3 linked regions of the Lonchura striata genome follow. The protein of the gene in region 2 binds, or shares a complex with, the protein of the main gene of each other region. Links are inferred from orthologs where the notes say so. Each region holds a gene or a part of one and is shown on either strand. Other genes may lie near its edges.

What was found.
Region 1: the proteins of BMPR1A (region 2) and GDF5 are in contact, whole or in part, in a crystal structure (PDB 3QB4), measured with the Homo sapiens proteins. The link is inferred for Lonchura striata from reciprocal best matches to the Homo sapiens genes BMPR1A and GDF5. Residues at the interface, in NP_001393490.1 of Homo sapiens: Gly65, His66, Cys67, Pro68, Ile77, Thr78, Phe83, Ile85, Glu87, Cys100, Met101, Lys102, Glu104, Gly105, Phe108, Gln109, Asp112, Ser113, Lys115, Ala116, Gln117, Arg120, Ile122; in NP_000548.2 of Homo sapiens: Arg399, Phe435, Pro436, Leu437, Ser439, His440, Glu442, Pro443, Asn445, Val448, Ile449, Leu452, Ser455, Met456, Pro458.
Region 3: the proteins of BMPR1A (region 2) and BMP2 are in contact, whole or in part, in a crystal structure (PDB 2QJ9), measured with the Homo sapiens proteins. The link is inferred for Lonchura striata from reciprocal best matches to the Homo sapiens genes BMPR1A and BMP2. Residues at the interface, in NP_001393490.1 of Homo sapiens: His66, Cys67, Pro68, Asp69, Ile77, Thr78, Asn79, Phe83, Ile85, Cys100, Met101, Lys102, Glu104, Gly105, Phe108, Gln109, Asp112, Arg120, Ile122; in NP_001191.1 of Homo sapiens: Lys297, Pro330, Phe331, Pro332, Leu333, Ala334, Asp335, His336, Ser339, Asn341, Ile344, Val345, Leu348, Asn350, Ser351, Val352, Asn353, Ser354.

The regions. Positions count from the first base shown.
Region 1 is NC_134619.1:13,421,459-13,431,359, forward strand, and holds GDF5 (growth/differentiation factor 5), read right to left. Parts: upstream 3,974-9,901; 5' UTR 3,953-3,973; coding exon 3,319-3,952; intron 1,779-3,318; coding exon 910-1,778; downstream 1-909. UniProt on the Homo sapiens protein: Growth factor involved in bone and cartilage formation. During cartilage development regulates differentiation of chondrogenic tissue through two pathways.
Region 2 is NC_134609.1:6,126,191-6,136,900, reverse strand, and holds the start of BMPR1A (bone morphogenetic protein receptor type-1A), read right to left. Parts: upstream 4,980-10,710; 5' UTR 4,755-4,979; exon of another isoform or gene 4,693-4,754; intron 1-4,692. UniProt on the Homo sapiens protein: On ligand binding, forms a receptor complex consisting of two type II and two type I transmembrane serine/threonine kinases.
Region 3 is NC_134605.1:24,943,342-24,953,728, forward strand, and holds the start of BMP2 (bone morphogenetic protein 2), read right to left. Parts: upstream 4,723-10,387; 5' UTR 4,588-4,722; intron 1-4,587. Other genes in the region: FERMT1 (fermitin family homolog 1), read left to right, coding at 9,324-9,474. UniProt on the Homo sapiens protein: Growth factor of the TGF-beta superfamily that plays essential roles in many developmental processes, including cardiogenesis, neurogenesis, and osteogenesis. Induces cartilage and bone formation.

The sequences.
Region 1 (9,901 bases), on a different chromosome or scaffold from region 2:
CACAGACATGTTGTGCATATCCATGGTATTCTGCTCCATGGAAAAGTCCCTTTCACATATTTATTGTACAAAAACATAAAACAATTTCTTAATTGCATTATAATTATGCAGAGTTGGACAGCTAGGCACAATGCAGCACTGTGTCAATAATTTATTACATCTTATTCCATAATTGAATGCTTTTACTATGAGCACTTGAGAACAACTTGGACCTTATACAGAATAATATATTTTGCTACATAATAATGGAAAGGTGGATACTTAAGAAAGATGTGTAGCTTGGAGGAAAACATACATGGAAGCAAATACCTCCTGCATCACCTATCTTTATGTAAAACTTAAAACTAAACCAACATATTATGTTTAATGACCCCTTTTTATATATGCATAGTTTCAAGAGCTAATCAGAAGGAAATCATATTACAGTACATATTTACACCAAGATGGGGGTACATCAGAACACAATTCTTCTCAACATTGGGATTCTTTTCTCACATTTATGAATGGACAAAGGACATAGGAATCAGATAGAAATTCATTCTCCAGAACAATGTTCAAGGAACAAACAGTTCATATCCACAGCTCACTGATCTCATCTCTATCCACTACCTTGCAGCTAAAAGCAGGAGATCTCAAGGTGTACAGGAATCATCTTCTCTGTCATGGACTTCACATAGAGTCAGTCCTGTGTTGCCAGCAGCACAAGGCCTTAAATCCAGCTGAGTGACAGCATCCAAATGCTACTGAAAGATGTCCATGGAGAGACACAAAAACACTGGATTTATTGCTACATCCTTGTAAACATACTTACCCTAGGGGTAAGAAACCTAGTTAACCTTGTTTGAGGAGAAGTTATGTCCAATGTGTCAAATTGCCTTTCATAACATATTCACATAAGCAACTGTTCTGCTACCTACAGCCACAGGACTCCACCACCATGTCCTCGTACTGCTTGTAGACCACGTTGTTTGCAGAGTCAATGAAAAGGATGCTGATGGGGCTCAGCCGGGTTGGGACACAGCAAGTCGGGGGGGTGGACTCAGGGTCCATGGAGTTCATTAATGTCTGGATAACTGCGTGGTTGGTGGGCTCCAGGTGGGATCGGAGGGGGAATTCACAGAGCCCTTCGCAGTGATACGCCTCATACTCCAGAGGGGCTATTATCCAGTCATCCCAGCCCATATCCTTAAAATTCACGTGGAGGGCTTTTCTGCTACACCTCGCCTTCAGGTTCTTGGTGGGCCTCTTCCCTTGCCGTGTTGCTAGAGGAGCTCTTCTCTTCCGCCTCTGGTTGAATAAGTACTCATAAACAGTTTTGTCATCTTGGCCAGACCTAGCTTTGATTTCATTGAAGAATAAGTCTCTTTTTTTCGTCCTCCCAAACACCAAGAACAGAGCCTTTTCATTGACCTGTCTTCCTGTTCTATTAAATCCCACACTCCTGAGATCAACAGCTCTCCCCCTGTCAAAAGTTTCCAGTTCAAAACACAAGTTAACCAAGTTTTTAAAGTTTCTGAAAAGTTTCCAGATGTCAAACACTTCCCACTTGGGTGTATCGGTGATGCTGACAGTCCGAGAGTCCAAGAGTGTTGAGGCTTGTCTGTTTGTAGAGCAACTAAATAATTTTACTTGGGAAGTTTTCCCAGAAGAATGAGACTTCCATGTATCAGAAGGTTTTTTTCTCAGTATTCGAAGCTCTGCTCCCAGCAATCCATCTTTTTCTAATGCACTGATGTCAAAAATATATTTTTGTTTTCTTATAGTTGGTGCTCGCTCATCTGAAAAAAGCACACAGATTTTTAAATGTACATCAAACACAGACCAATATTACTTATTCAGTTCTTAATGGCTTTCCTCAAATTTGCTCATAAGCCTCAAAGTTTACCCACTGAACAGAAAGAGCAATTTTTGTCTAAGGGATCAGCCCCATGCAGGGACTCAGAAGAAATCAGGGACTCACCAGAGAAATGAGTTTCCAAGTCTGCCTTGTAGAAATCCCATTTCTTTCACCAGTGGGCATTTTCTACCTTCAAAGTTGTTATTAGCCAGTTGAAAATTAATACTTTTTCAGGACTGAGCATTCACAGGATCTATTTACCACTTATAACCTACTTAAATTACAGAAAGAGAGCTTTAGTGGTGGCCAGGCCTTATGCTGGCTCCAAACATGAGTAAATTTACCCTTAGATGATGCAATAGTGAATTAGTCCTTTAAAACCAGTATCCCCAGGAACTGCTAGACATAAGGATAATTGCCTCATGAACTAAATCCCACATGATTTAAAATTTTTCAAACTGGGCAGAAAAAAATCCTCCCTTCATCCTGACTTTACAATCACTTGCTTCAGGTGGTGAAGAATATGGCTGAACCATATTCATTCCAGTGATGTGACATTAACAGTGGCTTCCAGTGGCAAGCTGGGAACCTGAAGGCAGCACCTGTGAGCAGCGCATCCCCCCTTCCCAGCAGCCAAGCTATTAATGAAGAGATGGCTAACAAATCCAGTCCTGGCGAGTCTTTCATCACAATTCCTTCACCAGCTGTGTTGCTTCCTTGAGAACATGACAAAACTCTTACAAATGTCACTGGAAGAAAGATGGGGCTCCCAAAGAAGGGTGCTGAGGTGAACATCATTCATTGGGAGGCTGGTTATTTCTCCTATGAAAGCAGACACTAGCCCAAATTTCTGGAAGTGTTTGGAACAGGAATGTTGAGCTGCAAGTTCTGGGTGTTATTACCCTTGGTAGCCTGTGCTGAGCTGTGGGCTCCTTGGTGCTACCTGAAAGTTTTAAGCTACTAAAGATACTCTCACCCCACAGGATAGTGCAGTGTAGTTCCTCACAATTCTACCTTGAACAAACCAGACTGGCCCTTTCATACTGAAACTTGTGGGTTTTTTTCAAAGAATAGCTCTGTTCTTAGCATATTATATGTTTTTAGGCACACTACAATCTAACATTAGCTGTTTCCATGAGCTAGTTTCCAGACAGCTAGAAAGAAAATAAGGCAAAAATGTGAAAGGTTTTTAAACACCTAAGCATGCAAAGACTGATTGATTTTCAACAATATGCATCTAAAATATTTCCCAAATGTTTTCTTTGGCTTCCACACAACCATCTAGTTCTGCCTGTAAATGAGTTTTCCAAGATAATGCAGGAGGACAAAATCTGCAGCAAAGTTGTGTGATTTCATTTACATTAAAAAGAGCTATTTGACTTTACTGAAATATGATTATTTTCCAATACTTTCTACATTTATAAGCACACTCAGACATCTCTCTCTGTCCACACTCACTCACACACAAGCTTCTTTCTTACCTTGTCCTTTGTCTATAAAGCTGGTTATTGTATTGGCAAGTCCAGCCTCCAGTTTTACACTTCCATTAACACCCTTTCTTTCTGCATCTGAGAGAGTCCTGTACAAAGAGAGCATGTATTCATGTGGCGTTATTGGGGGATGTCGGAAAGTTTCCTTAGCTTCCCTCTGGGTTACAGGCTCTTTAGTCTTTTTGGTTTTGAAAGAATCAGTGTCAGTACTGCTTGTGCCAGTTTTTTTCAAAGCCACCTTGCTGCTAAGATTTTGAACCTTTGGAGTCACTGTCCTTACTCCAGAAGGTCTGCTGGGGAGATGTCCTACCTTGCCCTCTGCAGCTGCTGTTCTTGAGGGAACCTTCTTTGAGTCATCATTCTTGGCCAGCAGAGCTCCAGCCTGAGCAGCACTGCTTTTAGTCCTGGCCTTTGAGGTCCCAGCACTGTATCCATGGCTTGAAGTCCTCAATGTACCTGCTCGTGCGGAGGGATTCCTCTCCTTTCCTTCTGCTTTCAAAAAACCTAATTTAGATCCTGGATTACCCTGGCCTGCTTCAGAATTACTCAGCACTCCAGGAACTAGATCCAGAGACAGCCAAGTCAAATGCCAAAGCAGTAAAGTGAGAAAATGCAGGATTTTCATCCTCTGGTCTTCCTCTGAATGCCACTAAAGAAAAAATCAGAAAAGGTTCCTCCAGTTTGGCAGAAGAAAACATGAAAGAAATTAAAAACCAAAGTTAGCAAAAATGGTTTTTGTTTGAGATTAAAACATTTCAAATATCGTTGTTCAATACTTGTATCCAGTCCCATAGTGGAAATGCTCATGTACTCAGATACGATCTCCCCTGACTTCAGTTAGCAGCTATAAAGAACTTGTTCTTGAAAAGAGAAAGTTTACCACCTCGTTTTCTTCTGTAAAACTGACTGAAAACTTGAAGGAGTCTTGTTTAAATCCAAGGTTTTTTTTTTTTTTTTCCAAGAAGGAAGAATGGCGTAATGCTGCCTCTGTGTTAAAAGGTTTTTTTAAAGTTTTGAGTTTTGAATCCTTTCCAGTGAAAATATTTCACACACAGAGATCTGCAGGTGCTCAGAAATCTTTTACAAACCTGAACTCTGGAATTGGAAACGGAATTCCAACAAACCTATTTAATTACTCTCTGATGTCATGCTGTCTAAACTAATTTTACTGCGATATATTTCTTAAAAAAAATCTTCTTTACCCTTTTCATTAGCATGAGTCATACTCTGCCTCATGTGAAACAGCTCCACAGGCTCAAAACTCCAGAGGATGCCTTTTCAAGTGGCAGTATGACCTCTGCCTTAGCCCTCGATGAACTTCACGTTTAGACAGGACAAACTGCAAGATCAACAACTGAGACCTGTCACACAGTCCACTGGACACATACATAAACTAATTTAGAAATAATTCATGTAGCCTTTTTTCCAGAGAGCTTGTAACAGTGGCTTCACTCCGTCCCCTTGTGACTGAAGGGCTGCGCTGGAACGCAGGCGCTTAACGAGGGTAACATTTAATTTTACACAAACTCAACAGGGCCGTGCCCACAGTCAGTGTATTTTGGCTTATTTATTGCTGTGCTTAAAAAAACCCGTGTCAGCCCAGCTGGAGAAGCAGCTCCTGCTGGAGGGGATGCCCCGCGGGGCGGGCGCGGTGCAGCGAGGCAGCAGTGCACCCTGCAGGCAGCCATCCTCCTCCTCCTCCTCCTCCTCCTCCTCCTCCTTCTTCTCCAGAGCCACTCGGGAGCTGGAGGCAGGCCGAACCCTGTCCTTCCTCCCGAGACTGCTGAACACCAGCCTTTGAATTTTAGATTCAAAATGTCCAAGAGCTGCTGACCCTGGGGCCCCAAGAAGGATGCAGGTCAAAACCAGCACTCCTCATGTCAAGGCTGTCCTGCACATTTCAGCCAAATCTGTCTTTCATAACCTGCAAAAAACGAGCTATTGTTCTAGATCAGCCTTCGGGAAAGAAGGCGCTGGACTCAGTAGGGATTACTGGGACTCATCTCTCATCTTGCATTGATGCTACACCCAGTCCTTCTGCAATTGCTTTTCTTTGAGTTAAGATGAAATGAAAAAGGTACACCACCTTTTGGCTTGTCCTGTGTGTGCTGTAGCATTCCCCACCCACCCTGACCAGTATCAGAAACACTGAACTGCTTTCATAAATAACAACCTGCATGACATAAGAAGCTCTGAATGCTTCACTTATTTTGATGGAGGAACTGAAGGATAGAAGAGTTCAGTGATTTTACAGATGTCACAAATAAGGTAGATTCAAATCATGATTTTCCTGATTTTGATCTAATAGCCCTTCCTCTGATGTCAGTTTGCTTTTGATATTTCCCTACAAAATAAAGCAGCTTCTCCTGGGAGTTACCTCTAATGAAACCATTCCCCAGCAGTCATTCCACACCATCCCATGGCCCTCCCAGCCATGCCATCACTTTATCCTTCCCATATTGCCCACCTTTCTGCTGGGTGATGTGCTGTGTCTGGTTCTGCACCATGGGGGCATTGATCAGCTTGCCAGTAAGCCACAAAAGAAGCTAAATGTTGAATTTCCACTTTTAATCTATCCAGCTTCCAGTTTTCACAATGTTTGTAAGAATTTAATATATTTAAAAGTTTGTTTGCTCTATCAAACTTGGCTGTGATTTGCAAACAGATTTAAGAGATGGGAGGTGAAAGAGCAGGAGGTTGGACAATGTGATTACATGGGCATTGTCTTAGTAAATCAAATTAAAACATGATCATTGATATGTTCAAAGAATATTTACATGCCTGAGATTAAAAAATCTTAGTGGGCTGGACAGAGCTAGACAGAAAGAAAAAGGAAAAGCAAGTAAAACAAGCAAGCAAAGGAAAAGAAAGTAAAAAGCAAGTGCAAATTAATCTCTCTCTTTAAAAGAGGCTGTTTTGAAGCAACCACAATCTCAGTGCTTGGAACCATGGGAGCACAGATGCTGTAGAGTGCACTGAGCCCCACAGACCCCAGAATGGAATGCTGACCCTGAACAAGACCCACAGACAGGGGAGTTCCTATGAACCCTACACCAAAGTGGAGTCATTCCAGCTGGATAAACTCAAACTCCACTGATATGTTCAATATGTAGCTAGAAACCCTCCTGCTGGTGAGGCTCTGGACACAGTGGAAGTGGTGTTCCAAGCCTCTCACTGCTCATCACAGCCAAATTTCTGTGCAACCTCAAGTGGCCGCGTTCATGTAGCCCACCTGTCCTTCTGAGCTGTTCTGTGACAGCAGCTCCTCCCTCGCACGGTGTGAGTATGGATTTGAAAAGGGAGGGCCACCCGTGTCCCTGCTCCCTGGAAGTGCCTTGCCTCCTGCTCTCCATATCCTGAGATTATGCCTACATGAGCTGTGATGCTTTCTCAGACAATCTCAGCCCTTCTGATGTAGGATGTCCTGCATAGTCTAGAGGAAGGGATGACTCTGGGGAGCCAGAGGAAGATTTCATAGTGTTGAAAACACTGTCAATCCCTGCAGATGAGCAGCTTCATTGGATATGTGATGCCAAGAGTTACAATTTGCTCTGTGCCGCTTACTTGCAGTTGAAGCTGCACATGGAAGTTTTTATAGTGATCTATCAGGAAATTCACTGTCCTTTCCCAGGTGGACTAATTTCCAGAAAGGACTTAAAAAACTGAGCTAGTGCCATATATTAAGCTATTTGCTGTCATGTTGTTTTGCTGATTGAATCTAATTATCATTCTGTTTCTGTGAGGATTTAGACCTTTGCACCATAGCTCTTGGGCAACTGTTTTCTAGAAGTGTGAACTTACAATTTATGAAGGAAATTAACAGCGCTGTGCTTTTCAAAAGGAAAGAATGACACAAAACCTACAGATGCAATAATTAAAACTTGCTGGTCTTGGGCCAGGGCAAAACAAATGTAATGATGTTTCCACTTCCACGTGAAGGTAGCAAAATTTAAAACACTGTGCTAACATGTTGTGATGTTAAATAAAAAATTGCAAGTCCAAAGAAATAATTGTGTCATTGGTAATCAAGAAACTTGGCTACATCTGCAAGCAGTAGTGAATTACAAAGCACAGAATCATAGAAACATGAAATATCCTGAGTGGGAGTGTTATTTTTGTTTTTTGATTCCTACAGATGTACCTAATTTCCCCAACTCTGAATTAAGGGGGAATTTTTTCCCCCTAATTTTTGGTATCTCTGCCTGTTATCATTTAGAGAAATTCAGGGTTTGTTTCAAGTTTCTTCAAGCCTATTCAGTAACAGAGTCCCTCCATTTGGTATACAATGTTAATTTCCCTGAGTTGCCTTTGATAGGTATTGTTCATCTTTGTAATAGAAGCATATTTATATGATTCAAGATTTGAGAGAGAGATCCTGAGATCCCAAACTACTTTGCTGACAAAGAAAATTTTGATGGCAATTCATTTATTCCACCTCTTTAAAAAAACCCAGAATGTCAGCGCTGAAGCATTCGCTGTCACAGGAAACAACAGGGAGTGAAAACAAGCCAGCGTTATTCAGCAGCCAAATACAAAATGAAACATATTTTTAGCAATGGGCTTAACCAAGTCTCAGGACAATTCCCGATGACATTGCGGAGGGTGCACGATCACTGTTTTTCCTGATTACATTCCCCGCGGCGGCAGAGCGGAGCCCCCAGGGCGGCAGCACCGCCCCGCCCTCACGGAGCCTGCGCTCCGGCGGGCGGCCGGCGGGGCGGGACGCTGGGGCCGGGCCGGCCATGGCGGGCAGCGCCGGCGGCGGGGAGCTCGGCCCGGGCGCGCTGCGGCGGCGGCTGCGGAGCGCGGAGGAGGCGCAGCAGCGCCAGGCGGGGCTGGTGCGGCAGCTGCAGAACGAGGTGAGGAGCGGGCGGTGCCCGGCGGCGGGGAGGCGGTGCAGGGCCGCCCGCGCTGCCCGGGGGCACTCGGCGGGAGCCCGCGGGGCCTCCCGGGCGGGCGGTGCCGAGCGCGGGCTCGGGGCTCGGGGCTCGGGGCTCGGGGCGGCCCCGGGAGCGCCCGTCCCGCCGCGGTCTCGCTGCCGAGCCCCTCCCGATCTCGATCTCGGTGCCTGCAGCTTCGCTGCTGCTCGGCCCTGTTAGCGGGGTTTGTCCCGGGCAGGAGTCGGGCCGGTTTGTTTGCAGAGCAAGTTTGAAAACTCGTTTTGTTCGCTTCAAGGACCCCCTTGAACAGCCCCCTTGAACACTTGGCTCGGGGTACGTGGGGGCCGTAGGTCAGGTAGAGAGCTGCCCGCACCTGTCCCATCGTTCTGCTTGCTGCCGCTGTCTCAGGTGAGCAGACAGTGCTACGGTGAAAGAAACCCTGCCCCAATCTCTGTCATATTAAAGTGACGCTTCCCGATATTGCAGTGACTTCTTGCTGAGTGTATCAGAATCACTGTGCTTGGGCTCGACAGAGTCAGAGAAAAGTTAACGTGAGGTGAGCAGAGTCTATTACAAGCTGCTTCTCTCATCTGTAATCTCTGTATCCATTTAGGTACTGCAGTACCAGACCTGGTGTCGAGAGTTGGAGCAGCAAGTGAAAGCTGGAGGGGTGAGTGTGCTGCAGGTTGTTAACTAAAAAGGGTGTATATAAAGTTCCCAAATGCAGACCAATAAAAACGCTCCACAATCCAATTACAAGAAAGCAGGTTTTTACTGTCTGAGGGTTTAGAGAAACACTGTGAGTTTTCCCATCAGTGTTTTGTCCAGTTGCCATTCTTAGAGCAGTCAGTAGTCCCAGAAATGACAGTCCAGAAAACCCAGTTGAGGATTTTAATTTTGTGAAAGAGTGCTTCATTGGAGTTACATTTGTCCTGGGTCTCGGGAGAGGACTGTGCTGCATGTTACATGATATAGCTGTCCTGGAGAAAGAACCAGTTAAAACACCATTTTGGAAGTCAGGAAGGCTGGTGGTTAACATACAGAACTGGCTCTATGCATTTCTTTCTGCTTCATAGCTAAAATAGATCTGGAAGCCACAGGGTGGAAGAATAGGAGAGCATTCCCAGGCTTCAAGTCCAAATCAGCACTTGAAGTCATGAAGTGAGGACACATAGCAGTGGGAGAGTGAGGAGAGTTGCTCACACTAATACCCTTCCCTTCCTCCCTGTAGTCACAACACTGTTACACCTGGAAGAAGCCATGAGCTCCTGAGATACCCAACAAATGAATGGGAAAGTGGTGGATGCTGACAGTGGTGAAGCACACACTATCATTTGACAAAACATTTCCTTTCTTCTTAAAGGGATCCCTTCCAGGCAGGTGGGAAGCCACAGCAGACCACAGCCTGGAGAAAGCACTGCTTCAGGTGGAAGAGGAGCAGCAAAGGTACAAGAAATAAGCATTTCTTCATATTTGGTATCCTGGATGCTCATGGAAGTGAGGGAAAATCTGTTGGTGTTACCCGGTCTCCCCAAGGGAAGCGGTTGGGCAAGGTGCAGGAGAAAGGTCCACAATCTGTTTTCTGTGGTGCAGTAACAGTGCTGTGTGCTTAATGGCTCTGCTTTGAGTGGGGAAGTGAAAGGTCCTTTCTGAGTGAAAGGTCCTTTTCCAGCTGAAATTATTCTCTGGTTCTA
Region 2 (10,710 bases):
CCCGTCCCAGTCCTGTGCTGTAATTAACTCTCAGTTGTCCAAGCCTGACAACTGCAAGGCCTGCTGCTTGCATAACACTGAGAAGGAAACAGGAAGGTTTCTAAATCTTCTCCAAGGCATTCTGTTAAAGATGATTTTCTCTTGCAGCCAGGAAGAGCACATTTTACCAAGCTTTGTGGTCTCCTCACTCACATTTCCAGTCAATGAGATTCACTGTTTTCTTCCAATAAATCCTTTTTTTCATGCTACTGCCCAAGTTCTTTCATTCCCAAATATAAAGGGACAAGTAGATGATACATTTTTCATATTCTCAGTATTTCATATATTCCATTATTCCTGCTGAACAATTCCTCCTAACCCTTCTGTTTAAGCTTCCTTTTAAGCCCTCTATACCCCTGCAAAAACACATGGAACAGTTCCTTTGCCTGACCACTGCACTGTGAATTTCCAACTGAACACAGGATAGGAAAAATAATGATTAATTTAGAAAACGTTATCTGAGCTTATTCACCACTTTCATATCTCTGACATTCTGACTCTGAGCACACAGTGTGCTCATTTGCACAAATCTCATGAGCAGAGTATCGATTCTCTGCATAAGTGAAATCTCTGATGACTGCAGTCCTCCAAAGTCATTTGAGCTCTGTCCACCGATTTCCAGTTAAATTTGGGATCAGGCTCTCACAGAGGAAGTACAAAGGCCTATGGTTCTAGGTGGGATTTTTTTTTTCTATGACAAGAAAAGAAAAGCAAAATTAAATCATTTCAACAGCTGCAGTGGTGAAAAGGAAATTGCTTCCACAAACCAGATCTATTTCCTGGTATGCATCTTGTGAGACTTGGATATTTCTCTAACTTATCCCTGATACATCTGCTTGTATTTATCAACCAAAGTATGGAAGTAGTAGAAAACTGACAGTTTTCTCCTTAACATGGTGAACTCAGGGAATATAGACACAAAGAAGTGCTAGTTGCTTCCACATTTTAATCTAATAAAGTTGACTGAAACCACACTACAAAAATTTATGCGATATCAAATTTTTGTAACAAGCATTGCTGCTGTTACATGATGCAAATTAAGCTGCAATATTGCAGAGCTGAGTTAATAATACTGATTTTTTTCCCTTTTTAATGCAAAGCAACTCATGACACTCGAATTACATTTAAATGCACTACATTTCCCCCTGAATTTTGGGAAAACCTATTTTGAGGAAAAAACAAGCACAAGAGCATTAGGCTGCATGTTGCAGGTACATATTCTGTGAATTGTTACTACACAGATTTTTGTCTAATCAAAATATTTTAAAAGTTCCCACCTTCGTGATACTCAGAGCACTTTCCCCTCCCCCGTGAAGAGTCACCGTGACAGTGTGGTGATGGCAGGGACAGCTCCATCAGGGCAACCACCTTCACTGTAACTACAGGTGTCACTGCAGGAACTCAGAGCTGGTGACATACGTGACCTCCAATAAGGCTTTGCTGTGGCTTTTCCTTTCCTCCTGCTTATACAACCTATGAATATTATCACAATCATGAACCAGAGTTTATTTTCCTACCCTAACACTTGTTTTGAATTTTGCTAACCAGACTGCCATTAAACAGTACTAAACCTAACCGTAACGCCCCGAATTCAAACGAAACGGGATGGCAACTACAAGACACACTTTAGAAAAATGGCAAGAAAAAACCTCTCTGAATTATAAATCTGAAACAGAGTGACTATATTTCTCACACTGTTTGTGTACAGCTGAAACAATGGGGTCATAACCAGAAACCCATGCAAGGGTTCTGCTCTACCACAAGATGAATGAAGTTCTTGGTCTTCTCAATATATCAAATATACATCAACCTAAAATGCTTCAGTGTCCAACCTGCTACAGCGAATTTCAAAATATATATTGCAGACTAGTGGCATAATTGCTTTGTTTTACTTTGGAGAGAAATGGATATGAAATACACCTTATATGCTCTGTAAACATACCCAGCAAAGTCCTGGGAAGCCAGTTCTCAGCAAAGTCCATCCTGGCAAGTTGGCAGCTTGTCCCCTGATTTCCTGATCACTGGAGGGCCAGCTGTGTGTTCTATCAAGCTAAAGCTCTTGGGATTTACATACTCCAAATACAAAGTACTACACTGATGTTTCTGGAATAAATCCCTCACAAAATAGCTATTCCACAGATCTTCTCAATAAGAGCAGGAGATTGCTAAAATTATGCTTTCTGTACACAAGAAAAATGAGGTGACTGTTTCAAACTTCTACCCATTCCAAGTATCACCTAGTGTGGTCTCCTTTTTATTCTTAAAGGACACAATATAGCAGGGCAAGTTTTACACTCTTTGCCAGTTTTAAACATTTTAAAAAGTAACTACTTGCTGCCTGAGAGCAGTGAGCCCTCAACAGCGTTCACAGCAACCTTTAACAGAATGCAAGAAAACAAAGCAGAAAGAAATCATGTTTCCCCTTAAAGCACTAACCATCCTGGAAGGCACAAAAGAGACCACTGCTACTGGGGACCATCAGCACGGCTGTGGTGGGACAACTGCAGAGGGTTCTGTGGATCTTGTCCAAGAAAGGGAAAAGCGGAGCCACTAAAGCAGCAGGGAAAGGAAAAACTTCTTGTCAGGCCCATTCTGTGCCTGCCTCTAAGTCCTTCATTTTGGGAATACTAGCAAAGGAAACAAGGCTTCAAGTACTCCATCTGTACCCACATATGACTCTGATGAGATATACTTTTAAATTGCTGAGTTCCATCTGTCATTTATTTACAGATGACAGTAAGGTAAGTGAAATTCCAGGCTCTGAAAATATGTCCTCTTTTTACTGAGGAACGAAGAAATGCCTGATGCTGCCCCAAGTATCCAGATAGGACTGATGCTTGAAATAAGGAAGGACAAACAAACAAACAATCATTTCTAAGTTTCTCTGCCACATACTGATTGGTCTCTTTCATTCATCTGTGTTTTCCAGCAATTTCCCAAAGAAGCTACTGCAGCTCTGTATGTCAGACCTGGTATCCAGAAAAAGTTCACATATCATTTACATATTCCACCATATTCAGTATTTTTAATATGCGTAACAATTTTCACCGCGAGGATCTTGCAAAGCACTGTCCAAAACATTAGGCTTTGGGGTCCCACACACTGGTCCTAAGAAAGTCTATGCTCTAGCTACATACTGTTTTAGTAAACTTGTCTTTTAATCAGTGAATTCCAAGTAACAAGCTATTTCAGCCTTGCAGCTTACCAAGAGCTTTCTGCTCTAACGTGAACAAAGGCTCAAACAGATAATATCCACAGATCCCTTTCAAAACTAAATTACTTCACAATTAAGGGAAGAAAATAATTCAGATCCAGCCACATATACTCTCTGTTGCTGGAAGAGATCAGCCAGCAGGACATACTAAGGATTGTCAGCTGAATCTTGCAGGTGCACAAGAAGACCTTTCATAAAATTTCAAACCACATCTCAAAGCCTACCAGGTAGCACTTGTCTATATAAATACATATAAAATACACAGCCCCTTGCACACACCCCAAAGAAAATGTGGTGAAAAACCTAAGAAAAAGCGACAAAAGAATGAGACCAAAAGACAAATACACGATCAGCAAGAGTTTTATCCCGGCTGCTACAAATGCCACAACATGGAGTATTTCTAGCTGTATATCAGACAACAAATTGCTCTTATGTTAGCGTTTTTATTCCAGGATTAGGTTCTACTAAAAACTAAACAAATCTTTCAAATTGGGAGAGTCTTCCTTATCTACAAAACCATCTTCTCTATCCTTGCAGATAACAGGCCTGAACAATCCCTAGCATGCTAACTTGATAAAAGAACTCAAAGATAATTACTTCTAAGCAGAGAACAAAATATGTAAATTCGGAGGGCAATCAATTTACACGGGAAAAATCGTCATACAACTTTACACAAAGTAACAGGCAACTGCTGAAAGGAAATACCACAGCTTACTACCATTCCCTGCTGCTGAATTCACTCTTAATTTTACCAAAACAACATCAGAGTGTGGTTGATTGAAAGGCGGTAAAAAGCCATTTGTGCTTTTGAACCCTGTTCAGTAGATTTTGTAACCAGTTATGAAAACAGCGTAAATAATCGGTCCTCAACAGCACAGTCTTTCACTACTAAGGTACGGGCGATTATTTGGGGTTATTATTTCCTCGGACTTTTTTTGTTTGACGTCGCTGAACGGCAAAATCCGATTTGGAAAGCAGGCGTCCAGCTTTGTTCAAGGCTCGCACAAAAGGAAGGCGAAGCACCTTATTCCTCGTACCCTTCCCACGACGACGGGCGCTGCCGCTCGCTCGGGCTGGGGCCGCTCGGCACCGGGCCCGGCATTACAACAGCGGGAAGGGAAGGGAGGGCAGGAGGGAGGGAGGCCCGGCCGGCGAGCGCCGCGCCGGCCCTGCCCCCGCAGGGACCCGCGGGCCCGGCCCGGCCCGGCCCGGCGGGCAGCGCCCCCAGCGCCGCGGCGGGGCAGCGCTGCCGGGCGGGGGGCGCTCCCGGCGCCCCGAGCAGCCGGGCCGGGCGGGAGGGCCGCGGCGGAGCCCACCTTCGACGGCGCGGACCCCGCCGGGCGCCGCCCGGCCCGGCCGTCCGGCGGCGGGGAAGGGGCATCGCCGCGGAGGGAGCGCCCCGCGCCGCCCCGGCCGCAGAGGCAGCGGGGCAGGCTCCCTGCCCGGCGCGCCCCGGCTGTCCCCGCCCGGCCGAGGCCTCCGCGGCGCGGCCCGCACTCACCGGCGGTGGGGGCTCCTCATCCTCCGCGCGGGGACGGCAGGCCAAGGCGGAGGGGGCCCGCTCCCCGCCGCGCTCCGCGGGCCGTTCCCGGGGCCCCGACGGCTCCGCTGAGACGGGGGCGAAGGCGGGTGCGTGTCGGGCGGGGGAGGGCGGGCCGGCGGGCGCGGGCTCGGCGCAGGCTCCGTGTCCCGGCAGGCGCTCCCGGCGCGTCCCTGCGGGGCGGGGCGGGAACGAGCCGGATTCCAATCACTGCAGCCGGGCGCGCGCGCGGCGGGGGCCCGCGGGGAGGCGGGAGCGCGCCCGCCGCCCCCGCCCGTCCCTCAGCACGTGCCGGGGGCGGGAGCGCCGGCGGGGCTCCCGGCAGGGAAGGTTGGCCGGGAGGAGCCGGCCGGGCCCGCTTCTCCTCCCCGGGAGCCCCTCCGCGGCCGGCAGCGCGGGCCGCAGCAGCGCTGTCCCCGTGAGGGAGCTCCTCTAGGAAAGGGCGGGAAGGTGTGAGGGGAAAAGTTGCCAAGCCGGTGTGGTGGAAGCGCTTCTGGCCTCGAAGAGGGTCGAGCCGCGAGAAGAGCGGCTGGGTTTGGCTGCGGGGCCGGGGGCTCCGTCCCTGTGCTGGCGGGGCAGGTGCGGCGCTCACCGGGGAGGTGGGTGCGGCATCGCCGCCGCGCCTGTGCTGGGAGCTCGGGGCCGCCTGCGAGCTGCGGAGCGCACCGAGCGCTCGGCGGCGGCTGCGGCCCGGGAAGAAGGACGGACTCGCATGGGCCTCTCGGCTTCGTGGAAGAATAGTTCTGAGAAGGCTGACGTTGCACTGCCGCGGGAGGGAAAGAGTTCCATTGCAAAGGACAGCATTGTTTGCTTTTTCCATTTCCTGTATCTAAATAAATATGCCCAGTTACTTAGATTGGAATACATTTTAACTTCTGCAATGAGCTGCTCTGCCTGCTGATAAGGATGCTGAAGGCCACGATTTGCATTGTATTTCAGAGCTTCTTATCATTAGGACAAATTGGAAAAGTAATAATTTGTCTGTCTGTCTTCAGGTGAGGTCTCCCAGCAGCAGTGCAGAAGGAGCTCCAGTGACGGTGCTATGTGCCATGCAAGTGGCACAGCTCCCACCTGGGCTGCTGTTTTTAATCCTTCACTCGACAGTGTGACAGCAGTTGCGCTGCTGATGTCCTCTTGCCCTTCGCCTGTCCTGCCACTTGGTTACTCTGCATCAAGAACTTTGCACACAAGGCCAGCTGCAGGGGAAATGAAGATCACATGGATCGTACAGACCACTCAGTTTCCCTTTGCTGCACACCATAACACTCTCTAGGCCTTCGGGACACACCAGTAATTGCTGGTGGGGAGATGGCTGCCCAGATAAACTGAGCATAGAGAATAACCAGTTGGGAAGCAATCTGGTTTATTGGTGCCAAATAACCACATGTGCATAAATTGTGGGAAACATGGGCTTGCTTATTGTGTTGACCTTTTCACAGTATAGCTCCATTTTTGCATGCTAATATCAGATAGGACTTGTAAATGTTGTGTACTGCACTCCAGAGTTGTCACCTCTGTAAGATGAGAGCACTGGCTTTGCATTCTGGCTCACGTGCATTTCACCCACAGATTGTTAGATGAGCACTTCACTTCTGTATTATCCTACAGAGAAAAACAAAAGAGGAAGTATAACTTCAAACCTATCACCTTCACAGACTCCTTTAAAATGTAGGCAGGTAAATACACACCTAATAATTGTATGTGGTGATAGGCATTTGCAAATGCAGGTCTTGTCTTATTAGACTTTTAGAAAATTTTTTCCGATCACCATCATCCAGAAAAATCTGTCAGTGTCCAAAACAAAGCCAGCCTACAAGAAAGACAAAATCACAGCTTCCATGCCAAGCAATACAGAACTCCTGTGCTTATGTTTATAATCTCAAAGGAAAATATGAGTCTGCTGTTCTTCCACTCTATGTACTATGAAATTATAGCAGCAGAATAGACACTCAATATGGAAGAAGAATGCAACATGCGTGTGTGTGCTCCCAAGCAGAACCAAAGCTGTTAGTGCTAGCATCTCTTCAGTAATAATGTGTGCTAATACAGCCCGGGGCTCGTCAGATGTTAGATACTGATTCCAATCCAGGATGCATGAATTTAGCAACAGCCACTAGCCTTGAAATGGATTTAACCCTTTTTGTGAAATGGATCAACTTTTTTTCATCCAGTTCCTGGTGTGTAAATTTGCACATTGCAGAAATTGCTGTCTCAGCCAGTACTTTTCAAGGCACTTGGGCATAGAAGATACCCACAAGTCCCTGTCAGATCAGGAACAGTGTTGCTGAGGATGAAGTTTTGTATTGCTATAGCAAGTAATGCCCATCTCTACATTATTGAGAACTATAAACTCCTTGTCTTAATCACAAAATAAAGTTGGCCAAAATAAACTACATTATGTAATATTAGGACTACAGGAGACCAAACTGCATCTTAATCTAAAATGATGAATCATAATGACCTTCTGAAAGTATTTAGATTGTGATGGACATCTGATGAAATATCACATAGAAAATACTGGTGTCTTTCAAAACAGTGCAGTACTTAGGTTTCAAACATCTCTACCAGAATAGGTAGAGAGACCTTTTTAAACCAGAAAGTGAACACTAGATGATGGGCTCTCAGAAAGACACAGGGCTCCAGCAAGCTAATTAGCAGCAGCAATCTTACTTGATGAGGATTTTAGGAATCTGCAAAAACTCAGACATACCAGGTTTAGTAACACTAAGCATTTATTTTGTTAATTGAGCCATATTCAAAAAACCGAGGTCTGAAAATCTGAAAATAAACACATAAGTTTATTTGACATTTGGCCAAGATGAGATGTGGAAGTCTAACATGAGATACAGAAGAAGCAGTTCAAAACTGACTGTCATGATGAAGAGAACTGTATTAAAAAAAAAAAAAAAAAAAAAAGGACAGTCTTCCAGCTGCTTTCATTGTTATTTCCTCCCCAGGAATTTCTTATTAGTTCTTGGAATCACTAGGGAACTACAAACTTGAATATCAAAAGAACAAAGAGGTATATATAGGGAGAAGGTCAGTCATGTGATAGGACCTGATCTTTGTAGATCCTTCTTCCCTTCAGTCTCTGGAATTCAGATGTCTTAAATCTGTGGTCCAAATATATTTTTGAGGACTGTTTGCAATTAGATGAGTATTTCTCTGTTACTGCTACAAAAATAAATATTCCATGTTACATATTAAAAGACTATTACCCTTCAGCCAGGGACACAATTATTTCACTTAATATGACATGAATTTGGCTTTGTCTGTTTTTCAGAACTATTTTACTTGAAAGCATATTCTTTTGATTATAAATTTATTCAGCTGTTTGTTACTTACAAAAGTCGTGGATTTTATTAGGTTTTTTAAATGTAAGCAAAAATAATTCAATAAGGCAGAGTCAAATCTGTGAAGAAATGTGTTCATAAAATTTTTGCTAGTGGATCACTGGTAGTAAAGAGGCAAGCCATGTCCAGGCTAGAGTCCAACCAGTCTGGTGTGGAACTGAGTCTGGGGCAGCACTGGAGAGCACTGTGGCAATAATCCAAGGAATAACAGCTCAATGAGCAGAGCATGGGCACAAGGAAACAGAAGTGTTCCCACAGCTCAAGCACTTGGTGTGATTTGGGCTTACTTGGGCTTCTGCAGGGGATTCTTCCTCAGCCTGGAGCAGGTGGCCATGGAGGAAGGAGGACACAATGGCTGTGCCTGTCCCCAGCAGCTGCAGGGTGGGAGCTGATTCCTCACTGAACTGATGCCCCTGCTGTGGCAAAGGGCTGCAGTAATGGGAGCATGTTGCTCTGGGAGACATCTTCCCAGTCAAGGACCAGATTTCCCACTGCTTTTTCTGTTTCTTCTGCCTGTGCCTAGCTGAGCTGTATGATTTTGTTTTTATGGATTCACATTTACAAAACCCTTATTGCAGTCTTCTCACCAGGTCGTAATAAACCCTGAGATAACTCTCCTTTTAAATACAAATTACTTTGTTTTTCTTAAAGCCAGAGCATTAAAAGTCTTATCACAGAAAAAGGAAGTATTTGTAGGCTCAGCAGACGTTTCACCAGGGTGCCTCACTCACATCAGTTTGTTTGGAGAATTAGTAATGTTTTCCCTAGATGCATGCACATAAAATCCCCAAAGTCTTCAGTTGCTCAGAGAAGATTAAGTATTTCAACTATAGTGCTGATTTTAAAATTTATGTTCTAATTATCAGTCAGTGGTGCCAAATGATCTACAAGGAAGTTTGAATTATACTGAGAGAAGCTGAATGTTTGTGTTCCTCCACCTTTCGTTACAAGAGGCATTTGTTTCTTTTACAAGTTGGAATAATCCTTAGATCCAAACTCACACTGTATTAACAGCTCCTCTGTTAAGCCTGATGCTCAGGCTTTGTCCTGAAACTGGAGCAATGCTGAAAGCAGAAATGTTTTTAAAACCTGCTGTTACACAAGGCAAATTCTTATCAATACAGAAAATGTCTGTCTTGGTGCGTGTAACGGCTTTATCCTCAGGGGGCATGGATTCAAGTGGAAGTGTTTCTGGCAGCTGTAGGAGGGGGTACTGTAGAGATTTACAAAGATGGACATTTATGAGACTGAAAATTCTCTGTTCTTCCAAGCTTTTTAAAATGAAACAGATCTGATCCTATACAAAAAAATGAACTAAGTTCATATTTTTCTTATTTTTTTCTCAGTCCAAACATATCTTAAAACATGAATAAATTGCTGTTAAATAAAAGTAAATGCAGCAAAATAGTCTAATTCACTTATTTTTTAATATTCTAGGGAAACTAATATGGGACTACAAAATAATAGAAGGATATCCTTGTATTTCAGCTAAAATGTCTGAAAATAGATAATGAAGTTAAAGGCATAGCAATGAAGCTTTTCTCTCTCAGTCTGTAAGGTGCTTGAATATTAACTGAAACTGGAACTTGAACAAGTAAAACTCATACAGCTAAAAGCAAATCCCAAAAAATAGTCTATATCTCCCTTTGCTTCCAATGAAATATTTGCCTGTGTCTGCAAATCTCCTCATTTGGCAGCCACACCTATTACAGTTTAAACTCTCACTGGCATCAGCAAAAAATTACCTGATTAGGGATGCAGGATTGGATCTAAGATAATAACATATTAAAAATCCACTATGGATTCAAAAGCTACTAATGGAAATTAAATCCCTGAGAATATAAAACATTCCAAGCTGTCGAACAGTTTCCATTGTACATACTCAGAATGCTAAACAATAGCAGCTATTGCATGTGTGACCATCAGGAAACACAGCTGTGCTTCTTTGTGTTACAATTAATTACTTCCGTTGTATATAAAATTGAAAGTATTGGTACTCTGGGGCGGAAAAAGGATATCCTGATACACTGCTCCTATTTCCTTACTGAGGCCTATTACTGAATGTTTCACCATTAATTCACTTACAATGAATTACCCTGCACGGAATAAAGGAAGGGTAGATTGGGTGGTTAATTGTTATGCTAAAAGCTACTTTTTCTTTGGATTTTCACTCTCCTACATTTTCTACATTATCTCATTTTACTACTTTTGCATATGCCCTCTTTGATAGGAATTGTTCACTTTTAATTAGTTGCACGTTATAATAAAGGTCTAAAATAAACATTTACTTCATCTTTTTATCTTTTTACTTGAAGGTTGTTCTATTAATATTTCTTAAGTTACAAGATCAGAGGAAGCACAATCTTTCTCTCTGTCCTTTAAAAAAAAATGAACAAAATCATCTCAACTGAAGTATTTGTGGCCAGGTTCTCTGAAGCTGGCACACAGAGATGTAATTTATACCTTTCTGTGCCAGTGAATATTCCTAAGCTGGAGGGAAATGAGGATTGTTACCCAGAGTTAGGGAGGAGTATTAACAACCCTCTGTTATGCATTCTTTTTTT
Region 3 (10,387 bases), on a different chromosome or scaffold from region 2:
TGGCATAGCTGGGCCTCTGGGAAAGTCCACGACGTCAATTATTTCCAGCCCCTGGCCTGGGACATTCGGTGCTCCCTAGGTATTTCAGATGACATCTTGCAATGTTTGATTTCTTCAGTCCGCAGACAGATCTGCATTCGTGAGTGATAGGATGTGATTCAGTCACAGGTAGAGAGAAAAAAGGTGAACACCTCAATGAGATTTGTATGTAGTGTGTCAGGACAAGGGAGAAGTTTGCCTTTAGGGAGTTTCTCTTTTATCAGTGCTCAGCTCTAACTGCAAAGCAATAAACACAGCCCAGCTTTGAAAAAAAGCAGTTAAAGGATCATATGCAAGTATCCAAGTCTTGCTTGGTCTTACAAAGAAATCAGAGTTTTCTTCTGTCACAGCAAGTAAAATGATGACTGGTCCTTCAGCAAGCACAGGCAAGAAACACAACATTGTGTCAGAGCCGAAAAGAAGAGATTAAATAACACCACTATCATAACAACTGCTGTTTCAGGCATCTTCAGAGACTGCTTCTTTTTAAAGAAATATTTAAAGCAGTACTTCAAGGATTGAAAACATCACCAGTTTTTAAGGATCTGCACCCTGACAAGACTCTTCTCTTCCTTAAATTAGTTTTTAAATAATCAGTAAAATATTTGCTAATGGGTTTGGAACACACCTGAATCCATATTGTGAGGTTTTCCTCACTGTTCTCAAAGTCTAGCCTGGCTTTTAGAGAGTAAGCTCTAAGAAACATGAATTAACACAAGAGTAACAATGAAACCGTAAGAGTTGACAATCCAGCTAGAGACTGGAAAGGGTGGGGGAGTGAGAAAGAAGAAACGGGGAAAATCCCTACCCTTAGGCACATGAATCTGCAACATGATTTTTCAGAGTGTTAATTACACTACAGCTTTCACAAGGCACATGCCTTAGGGGAACTCCAGGTGCTGCTCAGTCTCTGGAAAATGCTGATTTAGGTGCAGGAATAGACAAAGGGAAGTCTTACTTAAAGCTTCTTTACTTAAAAGGCTGGGTCTAGCATAAAAAAAAAAAAATATTAAAGTGTATTTGCACATTTGGATGGAAATCCAAGTTTAGCAATACAGCATTTGCATTGCTTTTCATTCAGGAAAGTTGCACAACCCCCTTTCATAGCAGAATCCCAAGTTTGCCGATGCATTGCACAATTCAGACAGTGTTGCCTTCTCCTCCACACCGAGTTAGCTGTGGGGAGCAGGGAAGAGCTGTTCCCTCAAACTAATCCAGCCCCAGTGTCTAGTCCAGCCCCAGGGCACACCTGTGTGGCCCATGCAGAGGGAGAATCCTAGCAGCAACAGCTCTGCTCTCACCAGGGCTGTGGCCCAAAGCTCAGGAGATGGCAGAAGCAGCTCAGTGGAAGCCAGCACAGATCCCACCTGCACCAGAGGTCCTGGTGGGCCCTGAGGGAGCAGCACATAGCTGCACTCAGGCAGCGCTTAGGGCTGACCCAGGGCTGAGGGCTGGAGTAGGGAACACCTATAGAACTCTGTCTCAGCCACCTGTGGCTCACAAACAGCTGATTTAAAACAGAGCTACTATGCAATCTCCAGCCATCCTGCTGTTCCTGGGAATGGAGTGGGGCCATTTTTACATTCCATCCTGCCTCCCATTTCAGTTTCAGTCTCCTCAGGGCAAATTACTATCTTTAGTTCATCTGCACAGACACAGAACTTTCAGTTTCATTTAGATCATGTAAGTACAACTGTTATATTTAAAGCATCTAAAAAGGATGAAGAATGATTTAGGGTACTATTAATATGAGCAATTTTAAACTGAAGAGGTCAGACAAAGGTGAGTCTATTTATCTTAAAAGCTTCCATTCAAACAGCCTCAATCCAGCATCAGATAATATCTCAGAGTGTCACTCCAGCTGAGAACCAGTATCCTAAAGAAAATAACAGCATGTAATCAGACAATAATTTTGAACCCAGCTTTTCTCACTCCTGTTTTGGAAAGGATAGTACCAAATCCTATGTTAGACTTTGGGATTCTTCCTTCACTTGGTCCTACAGCTGAGATTACAATTGCAAGACATTCCCATCAGACATGACAGAATCCACAAGAAACACCCCCCAAAGAATGCAGACTCAACTCACTGGCCACCATTTGATGTAATGCTGTCTCTTGTAGTCTTTAACTTTTATGTACTCAGTCAGGCATTAACAACTTTTAACTCAAATTTTACAACCTCACAGGAGGTGCTTGGGCTCCAAGGGTAAAAAAGGAAAATGTATTTCCTTTAATTAACCATGCAGATACATATTTAGGAGGAAAGTTTTCAAGATTAGCTTGGTACCATCTCCCTGTAGCCCTGACTTACAAGCGCACAGAAAAGGTAAGGATTCCTGAAAGTCTTACACCATGTAATAGATATGATGACCAAGCCACCATTTTTGAAAAAGCCTAAAAGACAGTCTAAATCATCATATGTTTTTTACTCTGTTTTGCAACCACCAGACTGAGGGAAGGTAAAAAGGCTGAATAGTAGGATGAATTCATCCTTGGTCATGAAAAATAGTTCTGTTTGCAACTCTAGCTTTTCAAAGCTTCATTGCTTCAGCTGAAAGCATCATGAGAGAGGTCTGTGTCACCAATCAGCTGTCTGGTGAACATGCTCACTGTTATGGTCCTTTTTGGTCAGTTCCTCTTGAGTCTGCTCTGATCCCTCCCTCTCACCCTTCTCAGTTCCCCCTAGGGAGGGGGTTTTGGTAGCAATGTTAAATGACTCACCCTCTGCACCAGGCAGGGAAGTATTTCACTATGTGGTGCTTTTCAAGCATGAGCCAGCCAGAGTCAGAAAGCAGACTTTAAAAACCCCCAGAAGTCCCAACACCCAGAGGGTGGGAACACAGACACCCTTAGTGAGCCTGACTCATTATGGGTCAGTGCTGTCTGTTCTGTGCCCAGGGGCACCCCAGTGCATCAGTTTCAGACCTCATTTCAGATCTGCAACAGCAGCTTCAACTCTTCTAAACCAAGAAAATGAGGGACTTTTATTGTTCCTCTTAATCCAGGTTCCACTTACAGGATTTAGATTTTTCTCTTACACGAACTGAATTTTTCCAAAGCTTCAGATATTTAGATAATGGCTGTTGGTGTCACCAACCAGCACTACAGCCAAGGGATACCAAAGGATAAAGTATTGCCACCTCCCACTTGTGGACATTTATCAGAGTGCAGATTTTCAACATGAAGACCCTGTGTGGTACAGATCAGCTTTTCTCAAGAGCTTTGTCAGTAGTGCCTGGTGCTCATGCCAGGGTTTGCATTGATTAATTTCTTTGTCAGTGAAGGGGGGGGACACAGAGAGACACACTTTACTTCTTTGCCTACAAGTGGAATATTTCGCACAACAAAAACCATCTGTCTACCAAGCATAGATTTCAGAAATCACATCACAAAATAACAAGTTTTCCATGATGGGAGAGGGCGCCACTCTTTTACATCTCCCCTCCTTGGTTTTGATGTCAGTACATGAAGATGCCCACTGACCAGCTACAGGATATAAGAACACAACACTGACATTCTCTGCTCAGCTTTAGTCCTCACCTACAATCTAAGCCCTCAGTTCAAGCACCAACAGTAGCTTCTTCAAAGCTTTAGTAAACTTACATGTGCCAGGAACTCACAGGAACATTAAAATATTATACAAACTTCTTTATATAACTTCTCCTACACTGAGAACTTACCAATTGCCCTCCTAACTCTTGGCACTCCCACAAGTAATTCCTTGTTAAAACTGAAGTTAATGAGTGTCTAAAGAGACCTGGGAGAAATGCAGCACTTGCAACAAGTCGCTGCTGTTCCCCATCCCCCCATGGTTCTGCTCTAGATCTGCTTTTGCCACAGCCTGGCAAACCCCAAGTGGGAAATGCTGCTTTGGGAGAAGGAGGAAGCAGTACAGCTATTGCATGGAAACACAGAGAATCTAAGTAAGGCAAGTTTGAGAGGAATGGGAATTCGGAAAACACATGCATCCACAAACTGGGGTGATCTCACCCAAAATTAAATACTGAGCATTTTTTCTTCCTATAGTTAAGGAAAAATCATAACAGAAATAAAGAGGCCTATGAAAAAAGAGAAGACATTCCTCCAGACGGTGCATTAACACAACAATTGGGCCAGTCTTACATGATTACATCATCACTTGGTGATAATTTATAACACTGGCCTAAGAAAAGCTTTTAAAAGTATATTGGAAGAAAAAAATACACATTTTACCAAAAAATCAGTATTTATTATTCTGTCTTTGTCATGTTACTTCCTCATGCTCCCAAAAACATATATTTGTCTACTAAGACACTCTCAGCTAGAGGTGTTTAGTAGACCCTTTGGAAAAGGGATCAAACTCTAAACAGATCACATTCAGCCTTAGCTGAGTAACCCCAAGAATAAATTAACACTACCTATATTCCAGCAAACTTTATTCCTGACTAAAGGAGGCTTTTATGATATAAACTGTTAAGAAGCTACAAATGCACGTTCCATTTCCTGTCCTTTTCCATGGGAACTCTGGAAAAGAAAATTTATTACTAAATTACAGTTTTCCCCACTCACCTCTGACAGGATGAGGGTATTACAGGTCTTCAAATCTGATTTCCTCAGCCCCTTGAGAGATGACTGAAAATGAAAACACCGCCTCCAAAGCATTCCCTAATTTGCAACTCTTCAGATGTAAACCATCACTGCCTCAGATGCTGGGGGTTTGATCAGTGTCAACTGAAAACCCACCTATTTTCTTGCAATACTTTCTGTTAGATTCACAGAGAGCTTACCCCCCACCTCTTTGTCTTCTGTCTTTTTTCCAGATCATTTTTTCTTCATCCAGCAAGTGCATTTCCTCTCCAAGGGATCTGGCAGATAGGCGACAGATTTTTCCAGCAGTCCAGATGGAACATGAGCCCCATCCCTCTTGGCACAGCAGGACTAGGCTGACATCAAACTCTACAGTCTCTTCTCTCAAGTTAGCTCACAGGCAACTGGAAAGGGAAATAACGCTCACACTTAAAAGAGGTCAGAATTGGGACCAGCATGGAGATAAACATCAATGTTTATTGACTGGCCTGGCAACCTTCTTTGCTTTTATTGATTATCTCCCAAGCGCCATTTTTCCCAATTTGGTCAAAAGTTTGTGATTTTTCTTTATTTGTTTAGAGAACAAAAAAAAAAAAAACACCCAAGAATATGTTCCTGAGGTCACAGCAACAGCAGGCTTGGTTGTTCACTAACCAATTCACACCTGAATGTTACATTACCCCATGGTCCATAAATATTTATTTGCTCATCTACAGAGGTATGTTTATTTAAATAATAATAAGCAGGTAGCTTACCCAACTGTCCTACAAAGAGCTAAAAAGACAGTGTCAAGCCAGTGCCAAGGAGCAGCAAAAGTAGAGTTACTCCACATGACCCCAAGAACAAAATGCCCCTCAGCCTGAGCTTAAGTAGAATGCCTGAAATTGGTCCCGGCTGGGTCTGGCTGAGGTTATTAAAGGCCTCAGTGTGCCCTCAGGTGATAGAAGGCTCTGAAAGTCTTCATGAGCTTTGGAGTTCCTGTCTCCAAGGATGTCTGATACGACAAGTGCATGCATAGACAATCTAAAGAGATAAGCATCATCAGAGTAGCTCAGGGAGCAAGCCTAGGGGAGCAAATATCCTGTGATACTATCTGTGGTTTGACAACTTCACAGCTGCATAGTTCTCATGAGAGTAACTATTTGCTGCCCATAGTGTGTCAAATATTCATACTTTGTATCTCTGCAGTCTTTTTCCAGGATATGAGTTTTATCTGAAATAATTTTGTCCTTTATTCTCTCTGTTTCTCTTTTTCATAGATATGGTTTTTCCACTGTGCTTCACCTCATCACTGTACCACCGTGTAAGTCAAAAGTTTAAGGCAAGAAAGACTTTCTGTGGAAATCTGGCTCATGGAAAAGCTTTTGCCCCTTTCCTCTCAGTTCAATCCACGCCTCTTCTAACACATCTCCACCTCACAAACTTTCTGTTCTTTGCCATTGCACCCTCGGAACCGATTTTCTCCGGGTAGCCTCAAACCTCTAAAAGCAGCAGCTGAAGCTGCCCGGCAGCCTGGGGTCATCGATGAGGTGGTGACTCTGGGGGGTATGCGAGCGGGTGACCCTGAGCACCGCCGGGCGGACAGCGCTCCTCGCCGCCTTACTCCCACCGCGCGCTGTTGGAGGGAAGGGGAAGGAAGGGCCGCCCTCCCGGGCTCCACTCCTCCCCCCGCTGTTTCTCCGAGGCAAGGTAGCGGCGTAGGGCGCGGAGGAGAGGGAAGCGCTGCCGGCGGGGACGGCAGGTGAGGAGCGCGGGGCGCCCGCGGGGAGCGCGGGGCGATGCCGGAGCGACCCCAGCACGGGGCACCCGCGGGCGGCTCTGCGCTGCCCCGCGGCACCTGCGGCGGGGCGGGAGTGCCCGACTGCCCGGGCTTGTTGCTTTTACAGCCCTTTCCGCGGGGCCGCGGCTGCCGGTACTTCCTTAAAGTAGAAGTGGCGCTACCGTGGGCGCCGCAGGCCGGGCCCCCGGCACCCTCCGAGCTGCGCCGGGCACCGCCAGCCTGAGAGATATTTCGGGACCTTCTTGATCTTAACCCCGCGTCATTAGCACCTTGCTCCAGCACGATTCACATCTTTCTCCGTTCCCGCTCAGCGTTAGAAGTTTGGGGCTGTGAGTGCTAAAATCTGCGGAGAGCTCGATCTGCAGAAACTGCTGATTTTCAGTGCGCTGCAGAAATGCCGAGTGGAGACAGCAGTAGCCTGAGGACACGTTTCTGGCCTGTTTGATCTACCCGTGCCAGGCCTTGCAGCTCCCACGTGGAGCCCAGGAGCTGGGGCGCGTTCCCGAGCAGATCCAGGCTTGACCTGAAGGCTGTAAGATGTAAACCCTGTCGGTTTGGGTTTGGTTGGGGTATAATAATGAGGGGTTCGTCGTCCTCGTTGCTTTCCTTGCCCCGTTTTCGAGACCAGGCTTTGTTTGTGCTGCGTACTCCGGTAGATTTGCAAGTGTTTGTGTTGCCTTATCTTCAAACTGAAACCTCCTGGTTAGAAGAGGAAGTGGGGAGGTGCGCGGCTTCAGGGAATGATGGAGTGCCAGGAGTAGTGCACTGGGGCCATGGTTTTCCATGCTGGTGAAAGAAAGGGTTTCACCCACCCCTTAGGCTGCTGCTCATTTTCACCCGCATCAGCACAGGCTTTGTGTGCAGAATTAGATTGGGAAGTGAAACCTAATCTAAAGACGCCCCAAAAAAATCCAGATCAATTCCTAAATGTTTTCGCTGGCCCAGGAGGGCAGATGAGACAGCTGCTTTTCTGCAACAATAATGGTTTATAGTGGAACAAAGTTTATAGTGGAACAAGGGTGGGCAGAAGTAGAATTCATCTGCTGGACTGCACACCTGTGCTCCTGAAATAAAATCCCAAAGTTGTCATCCTTTGGCCATGGATTACTTTTGAAGTTGTTTATTTATTCTTAGGAGCATAACTAGGGGCATTTTGACTTTCCTAAAGTCAGGGCTTTTGTTTTGTTATGAGGTGCACAACGACAGCTGTCCTGTGCACCTTGTACTGCACTTGTGCTAAAAGCCTCACCTGCCCAGAGACCGTCTCGGGAGCTGGGTCTTGGAATTTTTAGGAAAGCCACAGCTCTTCCCCTCCACGGGTACCCCCTGGTCTAGTGCATACCTAAGCTCGTAAATCATGTGGCACACAGCAGCACAAATTCAAAATCCTTTATCCCAGAGGCAGGAAAGGCAGTGTTCCCAGTGTCCAATATAATGCCTTTATTTACCAAGGCAAGCAAGCAAATTTCTTGGATAAGTACCAGCCCTTGTTGGTTTAGTAACTGTTTAGTGTAAAGGTGTAGGCTGGCACATGTAAGAACCCAGTTAACAACAGGGCTTGCTCCATAGGGTGAGTTGGCCTCTTCAAGTCACACAGTTATGAAGCTGTAGTTTTGCGACTTAGGGCTCTGTGTGTGTGTGTGTGTGTGTGTGTAATTTTGGAACTTCAGGGCAGACTCCCAGCTCCTTCCCAGTGAAACTCACTGGTAAGGTGATTTCCCACTAAAATGATGGCTTTGAGCTGGTCAGATTATTCATTTATAATGTCATTTGTTTAAGGGGAAATCCATTTAATCTTTAATGTATACATTTTCATTGCCTTTATGTTTGTCGTTACCACCTCATCTCTATTATCCCTTTAATGACAAATTTTATATCAGCGGCATTGACATCAGGTATTACATTACTAAATACTTATTTTTAAGAAGATCTACAACAGCCTGTAACATTGCTTCATCCCTTCTGGCATAGTTATTTGCTATGTTAAAAGCAGTCTGAGTAGGGCCCCTTCAACAAGAGGCTGTGAGCTGGGTTCTCGTGTGTTGTTGAAAGTTAACAATAAAAGGAATTCATCCATTTTAGTGCCTACACCTCAACTGGAAAGGCCTTTTTCAGGACAGAGAGCTGTCTCACTGTTTATATATCACAAATCCTGCCTGCACCATCAGTTACCTTATATCTACAAGCTATTTCTTCAGCAGAACCCAGCTGATGTTAACCAAAGCTTCTACTTGGAGCGTCTCCTCTAGTTTGGCTTGGCATGATTACTGTTCACCTGTCCTGGCAGGAGCCTAGTGAGATCTCAGACGATTCACCCTGCTGAGAAGGACACATGCCTACATCCCTGTGCAAGTCAGCAAGAACTGCAGATCTGTGTCTGGATAATGCTGGCAGAGAGCCACTAAAGTTGTCTCCCCTTGCATGTACTCAAATAGGTAAAGCTACTCTCTGGATATGGTCCTGTGGGAGAAAGCTGGCAGAACTGCAAATGTAAACTTGGATTTGCAGTAAAAATTAGAGCCCTAAGCATACAAGTCAACAAAATGCCTTTGTTCACTGGACAGATTACCAGAGCAGATCCCACAACTGTAGGCTTTACAGCGTCCAGGCTGGTAGATTAGCACTGGATGGTGGGCAAGCCCAGTTAAAACTGAGCTATATCTACCCAAATGGAGGCATCTGGGTTGGGGGTGTGGCAAAATCAGAATAAAACCAAAAAATCCCACATTCCTATCCTGCAAGAGCGATTGCAGGAGCAGAGTCTAGTTCAGAGGTAACAAGATAACATCTCTGAAGTTCCACCCAAGGCCTCTGTGAAGTCCTGGCAGCATGGAATGATGTTGAGACTGGAGAAATGCATTTGTTTCAGAGTGGAGGAAAAACATCCTGTTCATTTGGTTGGTTTGCTTTTGCAGAGCTTACACAGACCTTTCCCAAGATGGTTTCCTCAACTGAATATGGGTCACACACCTGGGACCTCTTACTGACAGTTGATCATCAACATGAAGGTGTAGAAAAGGAAATTCCACTACAGGTCACAGGGGACCTTCATGTTGGAGGACTGATGCTGAAATTAGTAGAAAAAATCAGTGAGTAAAGACCTGTTTTATTTACAGTATTACTAAATAATATGTGCAGCTTTCCCTGTATGAAGAAAGGCTTTTGTGTGTTTTGAAATGGTACTGCCTCACTTCTGTGTCACAGCAGAGTGTGGAGGTTCTTGTGGTCAGAACCCCTCCCTATGTTTCACTCTCTGTGTTACCATAGTGCCAACAAAACTTTGGGGTTGTCTTTCAGTTAGATGAAAATAATTAAACCAGGCTAACTGCTCAAGTCCCTTTCCAGAAGAATGGTACAGGTGTGTGGTTTGGGGGGCAAGAGAGGTAGGTGATGCCCTGTTTATCCAGCCTGTCATAGAGGGTGAGTTTTTAAAAGGCACTTCGGAAATCCTGTTTTCTGTGCTATTGTGGCATTCTAGCCTAAGTCTGAGCTGTGTTACCCATTGCATATATACAGTAGGGAAGAGCTGGGAAAAGCCAAGACTAGCCGAGTCAAAGTTAGGAAGTGAAAAGTAAAATCCCCTGTGTATAGGAACAGCAAGGGAGCACAGGAAGAGATCGCTTCTGTCAACCCCTCTGCACACTCAGACACACGGTTCAGACGGAAACAGAGTTTCCACTGAGTCAGAATAATTTTTCACAGTATTTTTTAAAAATACTCAGCTAGTGTGAAAAGCTTTCTGTATTAATATTTAAAGCAAATCTGTAACTGACTTGTGCCAGCAGCTGTCTTGAGACACAGCTCCTACCAGGGGACTCCAAAGTAGGACAGGGCTCTGCTGTGTTATGGACATGCTGAGGAATAGCCTCTGCCTCATGGAGCTGATGAGGAGCAAGGATTGATACAAAGACTGAAACAGCTTGGCCAAGATCACACAGAAGCTTTATCTGCTACTGCATATTGACATCTAGGAAGTCATATAATCTTGGAACTCCCATGGAA